Linked DNA regions of Arabidopsis thaliana. The protein of the gene in region 1 interacts with the protein of each later gene in a biochemical or structural test. Each region holds a gene or a part of one and is shown on either strand. Other genes may lie near its edges.

Region 1 (4,032 bases):
ATTTCGATCTGAGATCATATGAATTTTCTGAGACATTGGATTTTTTTTGTGTGGCTCTAGCGTTGAGTTATCAAATTGAGAAGTTTTTATTAGATATTGCAAATGCATAATGCTAGTTTTTGTTTGGTTTTGTAGTCGAAGAGAAAGACCAAAGAGCCAAAGGTTGAGAATGTGACTCTTGGACCAGCTGTTCGTGAAGGAGAGCAAGTCTTTGGAGTTGTTCACGTCTTTGCTTCATTCAACGACACTTTCATTGTGAGTGGCTTCTTTATTTTTCAAGCAAAGTTAGATTTTTATGTACATTTCTGAACTTCTTATATCTGCAATTGCAGCACGTGACTGATTTGTCTGGACGGGAAACACTTGTTCGCATCACTGGTAATCATCTCTTTCAACTCTCACTCTCTAATCCTTTGGTGATGATCCCTTTGTTAACTTGTATGCGGTAGTCTCTGTTGAGTGTGAAATGAAGTTCTTGACTGCCTAAAGGTTCTGCTTAGTATCTGCTCTTTTAAGTTTTTTCGAGGAATCCGTTGATATCTTTATAGAAATTGCTTTGTTCTTGACGGCATCAATGTTCCTGCTTATAGAACTAAGTTAGTTACCATTGTTATTAGTATTATGGTCTTCTCTATAGGGTGTGAGCTGAAGTGTCTTTAGTCTTTGTTCGTTTAACTTTTGAGGAATTCCTTTTGTTTATCTGTTTGGAAATTGCATTGTTCTTAAATAACAATGGGTTGCTAAAATTGCTGTTTCGATTTCCTACTTCTGTAGGTGGAATGAAGGTGAAAGCCGACAGAGATGAGTCCTCACCTTATGCTGCTATGCTTGCGGCACAAGATGTTGCTCAGCGATGCAAGGTAAAGGCAAAGAAATTGCATTACCAAGCAGACAACTTGATAATCTTTTATGTTTCTATATTTAATCGATTTGGTGAATATATTTATGCAACACAGGAACTTGGAATCACTGCCATACATGTGAAACTCCGTGCCACTGGTGGTAACAAGACCAAGACCCCTGGACCTGGTGCTCAGTCTGCTCTAAGAGCCCTTGCCCGTTCTGGCATGAAAATTGGTCGCATTGGTAAAACAGCAGCAATCTTCAACTGTAATTGTTTAATTGCATCTTTGATTGAATAAATCTCTGACATTGTTCTTGTTTTCCTCAGAGGATGTGACTCCAATCCCAACCGACAGTACCCGCAGAAAGGGTGGAAGAAGAGGAAGGAGGCTCTGAGTTATTTGGCCTCTCGTTGGATCTCCTTATGTAGCTTTCTCAATGTTTCATTTTGTTTTTTCTTAGTTTGAAAAGAGTTTTGGAATTACTATGCTTTGTTATAGTCTCAACTCTGAACAGCTTTGGATCTTTTTCTGTATGACCATAAGATATTCAAAAATTGGTAGTCATTTTATCTCACAAAAAAACCTTGAATTTGTGCTGTATGATTTTGTAAAGTCTTAGGTGCCAAATCTTTGATTGGAGTTGATAAAATATTTTTATTTGGTTGTAATTTTGTAATATCCCGGGATATTTCACAAATTGAACATAGACTACAGAATTTTAGAAAACAAACTTTCTCTCTCTTATCTCACCTTTATCTTTTAGAGAGAAAAAGTTCGATTTCCGGTTGACCGGAATGTATCTTTGTTTTTTTTGTTTTGTAACATATTTCGTTTTCCGATTTAGATCGGATCTCCTTTTCCGTTTTGTCGGACCTTCTTCCGGTTTATCCGGATCTAATAATATCCATCTTAGACTTAGCTAAGTTTGGATCTGTTTTTTGGTTAGCTCTTGTCAATCGCCTCATCATCAGCAAGAAGGTGAAATTTTTGACAAATAAATCTTAGAATCATGTAGTGTCTTTGGACCTTGGGAATGATAGAAACGATTTGTTATAGCTACTCTATGTATCAGACCCTGACCAAGATCCAACAATCTCATAGGTTTTGTGCATATGAAACCTTCGACTAACGAGAAGTGGTCTTTTAATGAGAGAGATATCTAAAATGTTATCTTAAAAGCCCACTCAAATCTCAAGGCATAAGGTAGAAATGCAAATTTGGAAAGTGGGCTGGGCCTTTTGTGGTAAAGGCCTGTAACCTAGCCCAATATTAGCAAAACCCTAGACGCGTACATTGACATATATAAACCCGCCTCCTCCTTGTTTAGGGTTTCTACGTGAGAGAAGACGAAACACAAAAGATGCAGATCTTCGTGAAAACCTTGACCGGCAAGACCATCACTCTCGAGGTCGAGAGCAGCGACACCATCGACAATGTCAAGGCCAAGATCCAAGACAAAGAAGGTATCATTCTTCCTCACTCAATCTGGATTCTTCTCTTTAGCTTTTTGAAATTCAGATCTCTTATCATTTACTTGTTTCTCCTTTAAGGAATCCCTCCGGATCAGCAGAGATTGATCTTCGCCGGAAAGCAGCTCGAAGATGGCCGTACTTTGGCTGACTACAACATCCAGAAAGGTACGAAATCATCCGAATCCTTCTGTTGATCATTTCGATGATCTGATTGTATAAACTCTAATGGATTGTTATCATTTGTAAACAGAATCTACACTTCATCTTGTGTTGAGGCTTAGAGGAGGTATTATTGAGCCTTCCTTGATGATGCTTGCTCGTAAGTACAATCAGGATAAGATGATTTGCCGCAAGTAAGTTTCAATTTCTCCCTAAGATTGTAGTTTTGTTGATTAATAGTTCAAAGTACCAAATGTTTATTAGTGTGTTAGGGTTTTAGTTGTTTTAATGGGAATTAACTTAGCTTCTCAAGCCTTATACAATGCGTGTTGAGGTTATAAATGTTCCCAATATCAAACATTTCCATTCTCTAAACTTTGTCAGCTGGTCAAATTTCTCATCTTTCCAGATGATTTTCTTGAATGGTACATTTTTGCAAATGGTTTTGAAAATGTGTTGAAGCTTGTATTTTTGATTGCTGAAACATCTTGTTTGTTGGATAGTTTGTCATCTATGGTCCGATCTGATGTCTCAATGAGATTATTCTAATGTAAATTTCGCATCTTTTGGTAGGTGCTATGCTCGTCTTCACCCAAGAGCTGTCAACTGCAGGAAGAAGAAGTGTGGTCACAGCAACCAGGTTTGTTTTTGTTACTTGTTTCTTTTTGGTGTTTATCAGCTGAAATGATATCTGAACAAACTTTTTTTATTTGCAGTTGAGGCCTAAGAAGAAGATCAAGTAGAGAGACTCTTATCAAGAATCCCATCTCTTGCTTGCTTTTTTTTGTTGTCTTCCCTTTGATAGGGTTTGTTTTTCTTGTTTCAGTGACTTTCTATGTTAAAAGATAATGTCAGTAAAAGGATTTGGTTTTCTATTATTCTGAATCGATTACGGAAGATTCTTGCTTAATTCCAATCTATACAAGTATCGTGAAATAATGACCGTTTATGTGATTAGGAGACGTGTTTCATTAATAAAATATAAGATCAATACATTGTTAGTAGTGATAAACTATGTACAAATTGTATTGATTGTAAAAGAAACACAATAGGTTCCTTTTTTCTACAATATATTGTGACAGACTCTCTGTTTTAACGAATGAATTAAATTTGTCAACGAAAAAATTAAAGAATGATGTGATCACTTTGCACCTTGGTTCATCTTCAGAGGCTTCTGCATGTTCCATGCATTGAGGCTCTCTACGGTCACAGGTTGTGAGCCGTTGTTAAAGACAAACAAATGAGCTTTTTCTCCTACTGCTTTTGTCGGATACACTCTAGATGTTATCACTGTCTTTCCTTTTGCTCCAAAGCTCTCCACAACCGAGTGATCAATCTGCAAATTCACTCAATTATGTTACCTATTTGCTTCTCTATACAAGAGTAATATTCAGTAAAATGATTTAAGTTTGTGACGTACCAAACTCCTTAGAGAGATCTTTCCGTCAAGGAGACCGACATCCACAAAACCAGCAAACGATGGTTTGTACATCCTCTCCTTGGCGTCAGTCCCGGTGTCTTTTTTGAGACTCGAACTGTTGATTTATTGTGATTAA
Region 2 (5,793 bases), about 18 Mb from region 1:
CCTACTGCTGCTTCTGCGAGCTCTGATATGTATGGTCCTGCAGTTTTAGACGATGTTAAGCATATTATAGCAAAATTGGAGCCTGTTACATCTAAACACAATTTCAACACCATTCGCTGAGGGTAGCTTTCGAAGAGCTCAAGTGGGGAGATGCAGCTCATACATGGATTAAACCATGAGCTTTACTCACTTGCGGACCTGGAAACTAAAAAATACCTTAAGAAGATGCTTTACTCACAACATTCCCTTTCTCTTCTCAAGGTATGCAACCATAAGAAGAAGCACTTCTGAATTGGTAGAAACAAATTTGGAACTGATGAACCTAGGATTATACTTTGTTTAATCCGAATAGAAATGTTGGTCAAAGTCATATATGTAAGTAACTTCCAGTCTCCAGTACATGTAACATTACAAAGATATAGGTTTCTTCAAATCAGTAACTTCTTGGAGAAAAAAAAACAAAGAATGTAAAATTTGATAGTTCCAAAAAAACTAGCAACAATGTATAAATAAAAATATAAAATATGTAAATAATTCTTCTATGATGACCAAAATAAACCAATAAATTACAACTTCTAAGTCTAAATATTAAAATTTTGTTTAACATTACAAATCATTGATGCGATGGATCACTCTTGGCTGAATTTACCAGTGATGGGCTCCTTTTCGATCCAGTCTTTACGCTCTAGAACTCTATTAAAAAAGGTTTATTTATTTTGACATATGCCATGAAATTTGAAGAACAGAACTAAACAGTGAGTTTCTTTGGTTAGGCAACATAACACTTTTTTTTACCTAAAGAAGAGATTGTAAATGAGAAAAAACTGCAGACCATAAAAGTTGTATATGTCATCAAGAAGGAAAAGCTAGTTGAATCATGCAGAGCTCGCGATGGATCATAGTGTTTTGTGAGCTCATGCTTTCTTTAATGTTTAACTCTAAATAATGACCAGTCTCATTTGCGCTTTTTAGACACCTCTTTGGAACCTGCATTTTAAGAATTGGCGGTTGTTACCTCAACGACTGAATCATACACTTTAGAGAAATTCTAAAGGATCTCAAGCTTTAGGCAGGGATAATTGATGCTAAGCCTCTAAGGTTATATCATCTTAGACATTCTTTCTCACCTTGTTGTTTTTTAGCAGAAACAATCTTTCTTCTCTCTATAGACTTGCCTTGAGATCCTGACATGACATATCACCGGAATGCATAATTAGCCAAGAAATATAGTTTCTCTTTTTTTGGTGGCATCATTTCATTTCTGTGAATCAATGTACTTTGCCAAATCATATTTTTGGCTCGGATCTCATACGAAACTACACAAAATCTAACTTAGAATGTGTAAGCAAACGAAGGAAGTAAGCCAGCATTCTGTCACAAAGGTTTGAACAACAAAAGCAATGTGTAAAGAAAACTGACCTTTTATTTTTCTGTCTCTGCATGATTCGCTTCCGCAGCAACATCTAAATGCCTTTACAGGATGACTTTTATCATTGAAGTCTATCATGTAATCCTGCGATTAGAAACACAGGTTTTTTGAATTGAGTATCTGTACAACTCAAGAGAGGATAACGTTATGGGACCAGTAGAAAGACGTGTTTGGTTCCATCTCTCTATTGATGAAGTCATCTACAAACACACCAGAGATCTAGAATGGCAAAATCATCAGAATGCTCTAATCTAATAGCTTTAGTGCAATATCCACAGTAAGAGCGCAAAACTTCTTTAGCCATGTGAGTATTTGTAACTATGTGGTCAATACAAAGTAGTTAAAACTAAGGTAGCTTAATCATGGTGCTTACCCATGTCAACTCATCCATGGCCTTCACGTCTCGTAGGGTAAAAAAAGCAATCTGCACATGACCAAACCCAGACTCCTTAAGCTCACTGAAATTTACTTTCACAATCACTGCTTTCCGGAAGATCAGGTTAGAGTGGAGAAAACAGATACTTACATGATAATAATGTCTGTCAGGCGTCTCTATCTCTATCGGAATATCAATCATGTTTGCATCCTCGCATCTGCATCAACAAAAGTTCACAAGAACCATAAACTCTCAAGGGAAGCACGAAAAAATCATAGCACAACGAGCGTTGATTAATACCTGTGATTGATAAACCTTGCGACATTTCCACAGATTGTGGCATCCAGGCAGAGAGCTTCTTCATCTTTTAGATCCTTTTCAGAACCCCAGTCTGCATCCAGAGTTACAGGATATGTATGTCGTTCACTACTAGACCTAACATTCCGATCGTATAACTCCGTGTTGGTCAATATTTCACCAATGTATTCACAGATAAAGGTTCCTTTGGGCAAGTCTTGCAGTGTTCTAAGACCCCATCCTTTCCCTTCTTGAGTAAAGTAAACCTGAAACAATATATTTTGCTCGTCAAACAAATGAAAGGAGAAAATAATAATTCAAAAAAAACGGGGAGAAAATCATAGAAATAGTTCAAAATTATGAGGGTGCCAGACATCAAGCCAAGAAGCTATATAGAAGACTAATTTAAAATAGGATGGTCAGCATATAAGATTGAATGTAGTATCCTAGAAATGTAACCTGCAGTTGGCACCTTATCCCTCTCTGTACTACTCGATTTCCACACTGCATATCACATCCACACTTTCTCCAGCATTCCTTGATGAACTTTCGGATTAAGTGTCCATCACATTTTCCATATGTGCCCTTATCGTGATCTCTCTCCAAAGGGCAGTCTTTGCAGTAAACTTTAGGGAACGAATCTGGTTCCTTTTTCATCTTAAGACAGGTGTCCAGAAACTTTTCCTTTAGCAGCCCTTCTTTGGTATAAGCATATTCTCCACTGGTTTCACGAGCACAAGTGCAAGGAAAGTCAGCTGAAAGACAGTTCCCTTTGCAGTTTGCGCAGCAATCTTCATCAGAGATTCGAGCCAGAGACACGTGGAGATAAGCACTTTGGTAAACAATGTTGTGAGGGATGTAAGTAAACTTTGGCACAGCTTCACTCCCAACATCATCGACAAGAGGGATTTTAACGCTCTCTGAACCTTTAGTTATGTCAGCAATTCTGCTTTTATATTTCCTCTTGCGATCACCATTACTAAGCTGTGGCTGCTTCTGGACTACCTGAATGGAGGAACCTGAGGATGCAGAACGGGTTTCGTAAGTTTTTTTCAGAGTAGCAGGAGAGTCAATGACCTTAAGATTCTTCCCTCTATTACCATTAGATGAACCTTCACTTTGCTTATTCTCATCCTCAACAGAATAAATAGCGTCGACCAGTGCAGTATAGTTATCCAACTTTATATACGACCAATTGCCACCAGCCTCTTCTAGGAGCTTCATAAGCACTGGCATTGTCTTTTCATCGGGAATATCCAATTGCCTTGTTCTCTCTAAAGCTTTGAGTACCTTCTCGTCTTTATTGGTGAGCATCGCTTGTTGCATATCGAGATCACTTTCAACAGAACCTGCAAATACACACTAAATATCTTAATTGGTAAAAAATGCCAAATTACTAGTTTTCTAGTGATAAAATATAATCTGGTTCATATGTATGAAACTGCTAATCACCAAAGTAAAGACACATCAATGCATCAGCTATCCTTAAAGATCTGCGAATTTTGAATAAACCCAATCCTTATCAACAATCATCCAAAAATCTCACCAATCAAGAACCCTAAAAACAGATTTATGCCAATTCCAAACAAAACAAAAACGGCGATCTCATCAAATCGACAAAGACAGATTCCAACATTTTTCAAAATTTCAAGCTTAAACCGTTCTGCAACTCGCGGAGTAAGAACCCACATTGATCAACACAATAAGAAAAGAGAATGCATGAGAAAAGCAAAGAGAATGCGTAACATACAAACAAAAAACCTTACTGGTTAGTCCGGAGAGACTGATCATACAGAACAATCGGAAGCTTCTCGAATCCAGCCGCCGCCGGCTAAAAAACACAATTGTGGAAGAAGACGGCGAATGATTGCATGCAAAGAGTTCGAACTTTCTGTGAAAGCTTACGAAATTAATAAATTAATCAATTTTCGAATTGATAAATACCCTAAAACAGATCCATTTTAAACACACTTTTCCACAGTATCTCTGTTTCACTGCGTCGTGCGTGAGTATACATACAATTGTTTATAGATTTTGTTTTTCCGTCGTGGACAGATTTATTTCCAGATTTATTTCCATGATTGTGTAGGTCCATTAAAATAGGCCCATTGACTAAAAAGCACAGCATAATTAAATAAAAGTTATGGGCTATAACGTGATATGTATTAGTTCTGGGGGTTACAAAACATAAATATATAATCTTCTTACTTCAAACGTCGTACTGTAGTTATTTTTTTTTTTTGTTAAAGCAAACGTCGTAGTTATTAAAGGATGTTATATAACTTTTAGGGCAAATAGTTACATGATTAATTACGTATCCTACCACTTTTATTTCCACAATCGAAAAATGGAAAGAAGGAGGTTTTCCTTGGTTGGTAGAACAAATACAAGGAACAGAATTATTTTCCCAACATCTCTCTGATCATGTACCCTTCAACAATCTGCAATAGGATAATTAATTAGTCAATTCAATTTTGTATGTACATAATTAAATAGTTAGAACATTTGTGTAAGAACTTCATAAACATGGGATCTATATAATTATAAGTTTCTAATATTTTCGTTTATAATTAGCATGTTTCGTTTATATTAGCATGTCTCTACATTATAATGTTTTCAAATTAAAAAAAAATAGAGTAAAACGATATCAAATCTAATAGTAATAACTTACCATCTCCTTTTTTCCGCAAGCTTTTTAGGAACATAAAAAAGATAGCAACAAAGACCAATGCCGCTACTCCTCCTACAACAATCGCCAACGACTTCCCCGTGTTTACTTTTGAACCTTCTTCTGTCAAAAGAAACAATTCGCAACTTAAGTACATAATCAACTGATATTTGTTTTGGTTCAGTTTTCTTTAATAACTGTACGTACCGTGGTATGAATCATTGGGAAGTTCATGTGGGTGATATGTATAACCGACGTGGCACCCTTCTAAGTATATTTGTCCGGCTATGGACCACCGACACTCTTCTGCTGCTGCTGCCGCGGCTGAACTTATGCACTCGCCGCAATCGCAAGCTTCAACGTGGCCGTCGCATTGAGCCACAACGTGGAGGAGCTTGTAGCTATCCTCATAGAATCCGTGACCGTCAACAACTCCTGTTTCGGCTGCAGTGAGTGCCTCCGTCCTCATCTCTTCGAATCCGGGGAAAGTCTCCGCGGTAGCTCCATCGCATATCTTGTGGATGAGACCGTGTTCCGGGGTCTCAAATAACTTGTACTTGTGATGATTATTAACTTCTTCCAAAAATAACAAGAATCATATTTATTTTACGTAATGAATCGTTTACTTTAATGTGAATTCAACTTAATTTGTTTATCACTATCCTTCAATTTTTCTCGCGAGTGGAAAATTTATATACCTAAGAAATAATATATTTTTTGATAAAAGTATAAGAAATTTTACTATAAGACCAAATAAGTAAGAAATTTTCCAACCATTTTTTTCTGTACACGATTTTATGATTTTTTGTCAACAACAAAGATGAATACTTACGAGCGCCAGGGGTATCAATACGTTCGAATTTGTATATCAAATGACATCCTCGAAGATGAATACGAGCTGACGTGGCATTTCCACACGATCTAGACGAAATTTCACGAAGATCACCAACACATTTATGGCAGATCTCACTCGGATAATCTTCTCTGCATTGGAACCATCCAGAGACAGCGTGTTTTTCGTTA
Region 3 (7,983 bases), on another chromosome or scaffold:
AGATATGTGACACAGGCGAATTCTTATGTGGCTAGGATATGACCTGTTTTCAGATAATGTTTATCCTTCACTTGTATGTCTAAGTACTTTCTCTTTTCATTTTCGGATCACACTTGCTTCACAGTACTGTGTTGAATGTTGTCTCTTCTATTTGGATACTTTCTTGTTTCGGTATCAACATATATGGCTATATGCTTTTATTTTGTTTGCCCCTGAAAACATCATATGATCTCTTTTCTTGGAACTGGCAAAATTGCATCTTTTGGGATTTTTCTTGAATTTCTGAACTGAACTGAATCCAAAGATTCAAAGTTAAGCAAATTGCAAAAGAAATAAAGGTGCAACGATGAGACAATATTAGATTAGCTTTATTGATTGATTATAATAAAAGTCAAAACAACTTATTAACAAAGGTAAATTCCGTTCCATTACGTGATACAATTTCATGGGCAAAAACTCTCTTCCCCACTATACACTACTATATACCACCACTTCTCTCATTAACCACTTTCACCAAGCCTAAATACGGGTTGTTAATAAAACCACTCAATCTACGTGTAATCAAATCTACTTTCTTCTACTACTTTTGACTTAGTTGGGGCCAAGTGGACAAAAAACCATCTTGTTTCCCTTACCTTTCTCCTCCCAAGGGCAACTGATGTCTTGAGGTTCCGTAAGTTTCTGGAGAAGAACGACTGAGCGGCGAACGCCTTGTGAAGGGGGGAGAAGATGAGGAAGACGATGATGTTGGTGAGGGAGTCTCAGACTGTCCGTGAGCCCGTCCCTGATGATCTCCAAAAATGAAATCAGCAAAGTCGTCCATGCTTGTACTGTCTGTGCTACAAGAGCATTCATCTGAGTTGCTGTCAAAGAGAGATGAACTGTCACTCGCCGAGTCTTCTTCTAAAATCTTCTGCAGCCTCTGGAAACTAGAATAAAATGACTGTATATTGCCGGATCGACCACCACCAGGCGTGTTGGAAGACAACTCAGGACTTGAAGTAGACACAGACCGGGATATGGTACTTTTCTCATTAGCCTTAGGTAGTGGCACTCTGCTTTTTTTATTGGATGCTTCAGTTTTGGTACATACTGCTAATCTTGGAGGCGTTGGAGTGCACCTGCAGTCAATTCATTCGATATATACCATCATAAGTAACCAGATCGAGCATAATCCACAACTTTAAAGAGTGTGAGAGATGCATTATAATATTATTTACCTTGCGTAGAACAACATATACGCTCCCTTTGTCAAGATCCTTTCCACATCCGAAGTTACTACCTGACAATAATCAATGCACAACAGAGGAATTAAACATTGAAATTTTCTTCAAATGTATGATGCAGATATATGGATGATGACGAGAAGAGACCAGTCAATGAGTAGAAGCCAAAACATTTTCTCTCACAAAACCAATCCTACGACTCTTCAGACTACAACAAAGATAGAAACCCCAATGGAACCAGCTAGAATATCCTTTCTAGAAAACAACTTCAGCATATAAAAGGAAGGGGAAAATTATATAATACTTATCCATTCAAAATTTCAAACTAAGAAACTCATCACTGAAAAGGAAGAAGCAGAAAATTGTAAACCTAAAATGCTGTCATAGAAGTAAGATACTCCTAGTTAATTCCAAAGTTCATCAAATAACAAACTCAAGTAAAAAGGGAACAAAAAATCGAGCTTACTTATAAACTAATTCGCAAACAACATTCCATTGATAATATATGAGAAACTTACCGTGCTATCATCAGCCTTGTACCACTTATTTTGGTTTCTAATATAGCAGACATAATGGCCAGAAAATGCTGCATTCATTACATCCAAGTGAACAATAACTCCATAGAGTTTGTAGTCATGTGATTTTTCACTTCCCCCACTGACATATGGAGCCAAATCTAGAGTTTCTGGAAACCTAATCAACTTATTGAGCTTCCCGAATTTCCCTGCCTTTAAGAATCAAGTGTCGCAAAATTGTGAGAAACAAGAGAATCCAGATAGAACTAAACAGAAACAAACCGGGTATTCATTGAAGATATAAGTTACCTGGAATCGTTTTAGTGCAATGGTAAGGACATTCGGAGGCTCTGTTATTTTCAGCTTCTTTTTGGCTCTCTCATAGGATTTACAGCTGCTCACAGGAAAATAAAAAAATTGAGTAAGCACCCATCAATCATTGAATGTAAAATCGTACTGCCAGGATTTACATAAGAGGTTACAGGTGATTAGTTAAAACTACGCAAATGAAAGACCATGATAGTACTTCAAAAACATTCTGTCTTCATAAGCTAGAAGGGAATTTTATTGCAGCTGGTCGTGGAATCTAGGTATTGTAATTGAAATATATGAAAGGGAATACTTTGGCAGGCCATGAACTCTACTTCAGCTGCCCATGAACTTTAAATCAATCGGTATCATACCCAACTCAGAACCATATATAAAGCTCATGTAAAACTCTATCCTCAGAACCATGAAAAGATAATTCGAAATATCAAAGGACCACACGAAGTTCAACACATGGAAAGGAATGCTGACCAACCTGCCACATCTGTATTTGTTCTCTCCATCCAATATCTCAGTCCTTGTAAATCGACGCAAAGCATCATCCAGGGTGCTAATATCTCCATCAATCTCAACCGTTAGATCCATCATTTTCTCACGCAGCTCAGATTTTACTTGACATTTCATGCATTTAATCTGGCAGAGATCATAAGTACCAGGATTACAACTCCCTCCAAAACAAAGTAAAATGAGTAAAGTACAAATGTTGTAGGTAATGATACCTTTGACCGGAGGTATCCCCCAAATGTCAAACCAATAAGAGTTGTATCTTCTAATTTGCTACTCTTGGTCATATCATATTCAGATGCCTTAATGCACACAGACTGCATTGTATCGACAACAAACCTGCAAATTGCAAGGAAAATGAAATTAACACAGATCTTCCAGTTATAATAAAGATATATGCAACAAAGTTTGCTCAATTTCAGAAATGTCAGTTCACCTAAGGAATTCATGTGCATCTTCTTCCTTGCCATTCCCAAGAAAGATTCCAATATTCTGCAGCTGAGATAGCAAGCCATTAGGGGACAGTGGAGACTTCTCTTCTTTTGCCTTTACGACCAGCTTCTCAAACCCACAGGTGAAGCACTGTTCTTTTTTTGTACCTATAGTTAAACGACTTATTAAAGGCTTGATATATTGATGATAATAAAAAATAACCTTCCAAAATAAGCAGCAAAAAGAAAAAAGACTTAGAACCAGTGACGCACATGCTCTGGAATGAAATTGCTGGAGGAAGTATGTCGTCAGAGGAGGAGTGAACATAAGGCATTGAAAGACAACATTAGCAAAGCAGCTGCAAGAAACAGAGTATATTCTTGCATCAGCGAGTGTAAGCTACACATTTACTTTACATTTTTTACACCACAAGCTGAAGATTATAACAGCTAAAAACGACTAGAAAAAGAGGAAATTGGAATTACCTATTGCCAACGTTGATGAGGCCACAAGGCTGGAACTCAATTTTATATGTATACAGTTTAGCAAAGACTTCATATGGAAAGAGCCCCTGCATGTCACCAAAAGATTGATAAGAAAAATAGCTTTGCTGATTTGTTAATGTAGGAACTAAGTATTGCATAATGATGATAACATCCTAGAACTCAGTGATTACCTTATGACCATGTCTTCCTGCCATCTCATTTTCAGACTTCGGTCTGGTCCACTGGTCTACAACTTTCAGTACTGATGCCTTTAAACCACTTCTTCCATGTAGAGAATTTATATGCTGAACGACAGCACCATTCTGTTTCTGATGATCAAGAACTCTTACCGATTTTGCACCTAAAGGAGAATGCTTCATAAGATCAGCACACTTCTTGGTATTCGAGGCCTTGGATGCCAAAAGTTGGACTTCCCCAACCTTCAAAGGGGCCAACATAGAGCCATTTTCACTACTAGCGCTCTTTGACTTCGGAAGGGTCACATGGGACAAATTAGAAGAGTCCAAAGGACTCAGCGCATCAGTAGAAGAGGAAATTGGTAATGCAATTTCAGCTTCATCAAATCTTTTAGCATTTCTTTCTCTTAAGTTTACTCCATCAGATATATAACCAGTCCCCCTAGGAGCTTCTTTTAAAATGCTACTCCTCTGCTCAGAAACTTTAGCAGCTGAGGTGTCTCTAGAGGAGCCAGAGCCAAAGGAGAAATGCAGAGAGGAGTTACCAGGTCTACCAGATTTAGATTTAACACAAGAATCACTCACACGTTCGGCTGATCCAAGAGCCGTACCCCAAAAATCAGATGACTTCAGAGATGGGTCAGCTGATACTGGATGCCTATCCGTAACTAATGAGTGTAAGCTCCTTGATTGGCTCTGGTTCTGCCCAGCATCATCCTCAGGTTTATGTACACTTAATTTAGGCAGATTAGCGAGATTATCTACAGATTCAACCAAGTGCACAAATTTTGGAGACAACAGTTTGGATGGAGCATCTTCAATGGTGCTGAAACAGGTGTCTTCTGGCTCTACAGAGACATGAGCATCAAGTAGGGACTCTGATCTCTCGGATTCAGATGAACTGAAGCTCTCACAACGAGAAATCTCGTCGCCAGAGTCATTACGGGGGGAGGAGGAGAAGCCAGAAAACGAGGATCCAGATGTTTCAGCAACAGAAACAGCTTCTTCCTTATCTATAAGGTCATCTTTGTTATCTGCAATATCTCCATTCCCATCTTCAGGAGATCTGGCACGATTAGATAATAGTGATTCCCCGATTGGTATAGTAACTGGTTCTGGACCCACCAGTAAAGTTTCCTCAGGAGTATTTTGTCCATTTTCTTCTCCTAATCTCAAATCGGAATCACTCTCATCTTCACTATCATATACAATGGAAGCAGGATGACATTCATCTTTGTGACCTTGCCGCCAGTGAATGATTTGACATTTCCCGGAACTGGAAAAAAAATAACAAAAACGAAACAACTATCACTAAGATATGTAGGTAACGAAATTTCACATGCGCTAAGGGGAAAAGGTTGAAAATTTGATAGACATTATAGTACATTTCTTAAGCTATCTAATTGAAATAAATTCCTCAGCAGCACATAGTTAGTTACTCACAGATAAGCCATGAATCAAATACTAAACTTCCTCCCAAGCTAACTAATTACCCATAATTTTGTTAACATAGAAAAAGAAGTCAATTTTCTTAAATCTCTGATCCAGTATCGCTAAAGTTACAGAACTAACTTATATTCTTTGCCTACTAATCACTCCAATTCATCACGTCTCAGCAGAGAGTGCAGCAGATGCAATCATAACTCTAAGATCATACAACGTAATTTGGACATGGAGAAAGTGAGAGAATTTTTGCATACCAATATCGAACGGCTTTGCAGCGAGAGCAACGAGTCGTGGCAAGACAATAGCAAACAGGACAATGGAAGACATTAGAGACGGCAACAGAAGAGAACTCAACAGAGGCCTCTAGCTCAGCCCTGGCAGCCTCTTCAGAAGCATGAATAAGAAGTCTTCTAATCTCCTCCCTTCTTTGGGCAGCGACCCTCCATTTGTGACGAACAAAGAGACCGATCAAAGGTAAAACAAGAGAGACCACAAGGACTAGACTAGAAATCCCTAGATCCAAAACAAGGAGCATTTATCCTCCACCAGATGCACAAACAATTGGAAATAAATCTGAGCACCAACCATAGATTTCACCGGCGAATAAGCCGGGAACAGAGGTGACAGTGAGGATCAGTCCGGCGATTTAGCACATGCAGAGAGAGCGAGAGAGAGAAGCCAGGAATCGATGGAAGTTATAATTTTTTCGCTGGTGGGTAAGCTTCCAAAATGATGACCCAAGAAAATCCAAAGATGAGAAGGAATAAAGAAAACCCTAGAGAGCACAAGTTGGGTTTTCTATTGTTCTCTGGGAAAAAGTTGAAAAAATCTGGTGCTTCTGGTTTAGGGTTTCGAAAGAGGGCAAGAGTGGAGAGATTCTTCGGTAGAAGGACGAAGAAATTAGGAGGCAGTATATTACTTTTCTATACCAAGACGCTTTGCTTTTTCATTTTACCAGACCAGACAACCTTTTTTTTTTTTTGCTCTAACGTCATTTGGAAATCATATTTTTATTACCAGGAAGCCCTTCTTTTAAAAACAAAATAAGAATAATAGTTCAACGGAAATATGAATTTGCATGTTGACAATGATAAAAAGTTATGAATTAGTCAATTAAAAAAGTGTGTAAGTTATGTATTAGTCAATTAAAAAAGTGTGTATGATGGGATATTGTAGCTATCTATTATATATGTATATTTAGTGCCATTTTCGTGTCACACCATGTCTTCATTTTTATTTTTCTTTACCATGTGTTATACTTTTTTGTTATAAAAAGTTGATATATATATATTATCGCTTAACTTTTTTTAAGTAACTATAAAATGGGTATCATATATAACAAACATATATAAGTATTTTGCAATTTATGCGATATATAAAAATAAAATAAAATAAATCTACACGATTCTATATGTTATATTATAAAGATCACGCCATATTATTCTATCTATAAGAATACAACGTACGGGATTATATATGATAGACGATTGTATTTGCGGGACATTGAGATGTTTCCGAAAATAGTCATCAAATATCAAACCAGAATTTGATGTGAAAACACTAATTAAAACATATAATTGACAACTAGACTATATCATTTGTTAAGTTGAGCGTTGAAAGAAAATGAAAGAGTGTAGACTGTAGTATGTATGAGTTTCCCAAAGGATGGTGCTTGAATATTATTGGGAAGAGACTTTGGTTGGTTCGGTTGAATGAAGATTTTTACCTGCCATGTTGATAGAGAAAGGCAAATAAATGTAGGGGTCGATGTCTAACGTAAAGACTGGATCAACCAAGAGTCCTCCTCCTCGTCTTCACCAAAAAAAAAGAGTCCTCCTCGTGGAAACTTATTTCTTCTCCAGCCAAGATCTCATCTCATCTCTTCACTCTATGAAATATAAAGGAATCTTATGGTTTTTCTAAAAACTATAGTACGTCTATATACCAAAGGAAACAATATAAAATCAGTTAATCTGATAAATTTTGAGTAAATAATAAAGTTAACTTTGTACTTACCTATATCAAACTAATTCACAAAATAAAGTAATAATAACAAAGAATTTTTAGTAGATCCACAATATACACACACACTATGAGAAATCATAATAGAGAATTTTAATGATTTTGTCTAACTCATAGCAACAAGTCGCTTTGGCCGAGTGGTTAAGGCGTGTGCCTGCTAAGTACATGGGCTCTGCCCGCGAGAGTTCGAATCTCTCAGGCGACGTTTCTTTTGTTTTCGGCCATAAAGGAAAAAGCCCAATTAACACGTCTCGCTTATAAGCCCATAAAGCAAACAATGGGCTGTCTCTGTCTCACTCACACACGCGTTTTCCTACTTTTTGACTATTTTTATAACCGGCGGGTCTGACTTAATTAGGGTTTTCTTTAATAATCAGACACTCTCTCACTCGTTTCGTCAACATTGAACACAGACAAAACCGCGTCACAAAACAAAACTCGCTACAAATAAATACCTTTGTTTCCCTCTTCTTCTCCTTCACTCACAACATCTCAATTTCATTCTCTCTTCTCTCTCCAATTTCACAACAATGGGAGTCAAAAGTTTCGTTGAAGGTGGGATTGCCTCTGTAATCGCCGGTTGCTCTACTCACCCTCTCGATCTAATCAAGGTTCGTCTTCAGCTTCACGGTGAAGCACCTTCCACCACCACCGTCACTCTCCTCCGTCCAGCTCTCGCTTTCCCCAATTCTTCTCCTGCAGCTTTCCTGGAAACGACTTCTTCAGTCCCCAAAGTAGGACCGATCTCACTCGGAATCAACATAGTCAAATCGGAAGGCGCCGCCGCGTTATTCTCAGGAGTCTCCGCTACACTTCTCCGTCAGACGTT

The links.
Region 2: the proteins of UBQ1 (region 1) and SUVR4 form a complex in vitro, tested with the Arabidopsis thaliana proteins (2 studies listed by BioGRID, with this or other methods).
Region 3: of the proteins of UBQ1 (region 1) and UBP16, one has a biochemical effect on the other in vitro, tested with the Arabidopsis thaliana proteins (one study listed by BioGRID).

Annotation. Positions count from the first base shown.
Region 1 is NC_003074.8:19,503,463-19,507,494, forward strand, and holds UBQ1 (ubiquitin extension protein 1), read left to right. Parts: upstream 1-1,916; 5' UTR 1,917-2,205; coding exon 2,206-2,308; intron 2,309-2,395; coding exon 2,396-2,482; intron 2,483-2,567; coding exon 2,568-2,670; intron 2,671-2,867; exon of another isoform or gene 2,868-2,909; intron 2,910-3,049; coding exon 3,050-3,116; intron 3,117-3,192; coding exon 3,193-3,219; 3' UTR 3,220-3,470; downstream 3,471-4,032. Other genes in the region: AT3G52580 (Ribosomal protein S11 family protein), read left to right, coding at 136-255, 333-378, 775-860, 957-1,086, 1,172-1,239; CWINV2 (cell wall invertase 2), read right to left, coding at 3,618-3,812, 3,897-4,011.
Region 2 is NC_003074.8:1,159,702-1,165,494, reverse strand, and holds SUVR4 (SET-domain containing protein lysine methyltransferase family protein), read right to left. Parts: upstream 4,130-5,793; 5' UTR 3,894-4,129; coding exon 3,869-3,893; exon of another isoform or gene 3,853-3,868; intron 3,465-3,852; exon of another isoform or gene 3,452-3,464; coding exon 2,562-3,451; intron 2,369-2,561; coding exon 2,106-2,368; intron 2,023-2,105; coding exon 1,956-2,022; intron 1,854-1,955; coding exon 1,803-1,853; intron 1,514-1,802; coding exon 1,420-1,513; intron 1,185-1,419; coding exon 1,128-1,184; coding exon of another isoform or gene 1,105-1,127; exon of another isoform or gene 1,039-1,104; intron 988-1,038; coding exon 956-987; 3' UTR 518-955; downstream 1-517. Other genes in the region: AT3G04390 (Aldehyde oxidase/xanthine dehydrogenase, molybdopterin binding protein), read left to right, coding at 1-120; PDLP4 (plasmodesmata-located protein 4), read right to left, coding at 4,536-4,543, 4,774-4,893, 4,978-5,346, 5,603-5,793. UniProt on the Arabidopsis thaliana protein: Histone methyltransferase that converts monomethylated 'Lys-9' of histone H3 (H3K9me1) to dimethylated 'Lys-9' (H3K9me2) in the absence of bound ubiquitin, and to trimethylated 'Lys-9' (H3K9me3) in the presence of bound ubiquitin.
Region 3 is NC_003075.7:12,678,862-12,686,844, forward strand, and holds UBP16 (ubiquitin-specific protease 16), read right to left. Parts: upstream 6,116-7,983; 5' UTR 5,668-6,115; coding exon 5,387-5,667; intron 4,963-5,386; coding exon 3,681-4,962; intron 3,576-3,680; coding exon 3,490-3,575; intron 3,363-3,489; coding exon 3,277-3,362; intron 3,172-3,276; coding exon 3,009-3,171; intron 2,912-3,008; coding exon 2,788-2,911; intron 2,702-2,787; coding exon 2,544-2,701; intron 2,136-2,543; coding exon 2,051-2,135; intron 1,955-2,050; coding exon 1,745-1,954; intron 1,283-1,744; coding exon 1,221-1,282; intron 1,122-1,220; coding exon 632-1,121; 3' UTR 339-631; downstream 1-338. Other genes in the region: AT4G24550 (Clathrin adaptor complexes medium subunit family protein), read left to right, coding at 1-42; DIC2 (dicarboxylate carrier 2), read left to right, coding at 7,685-7,983. UniProt on the Arabidopsis thaliana protein: Recognizes and hydrolyzes the peptide bond at the C-terminal Gly of ubiquitin. Involved in the processing of poly-ubiquitin precursors as well as that of ubiquitinated proteins.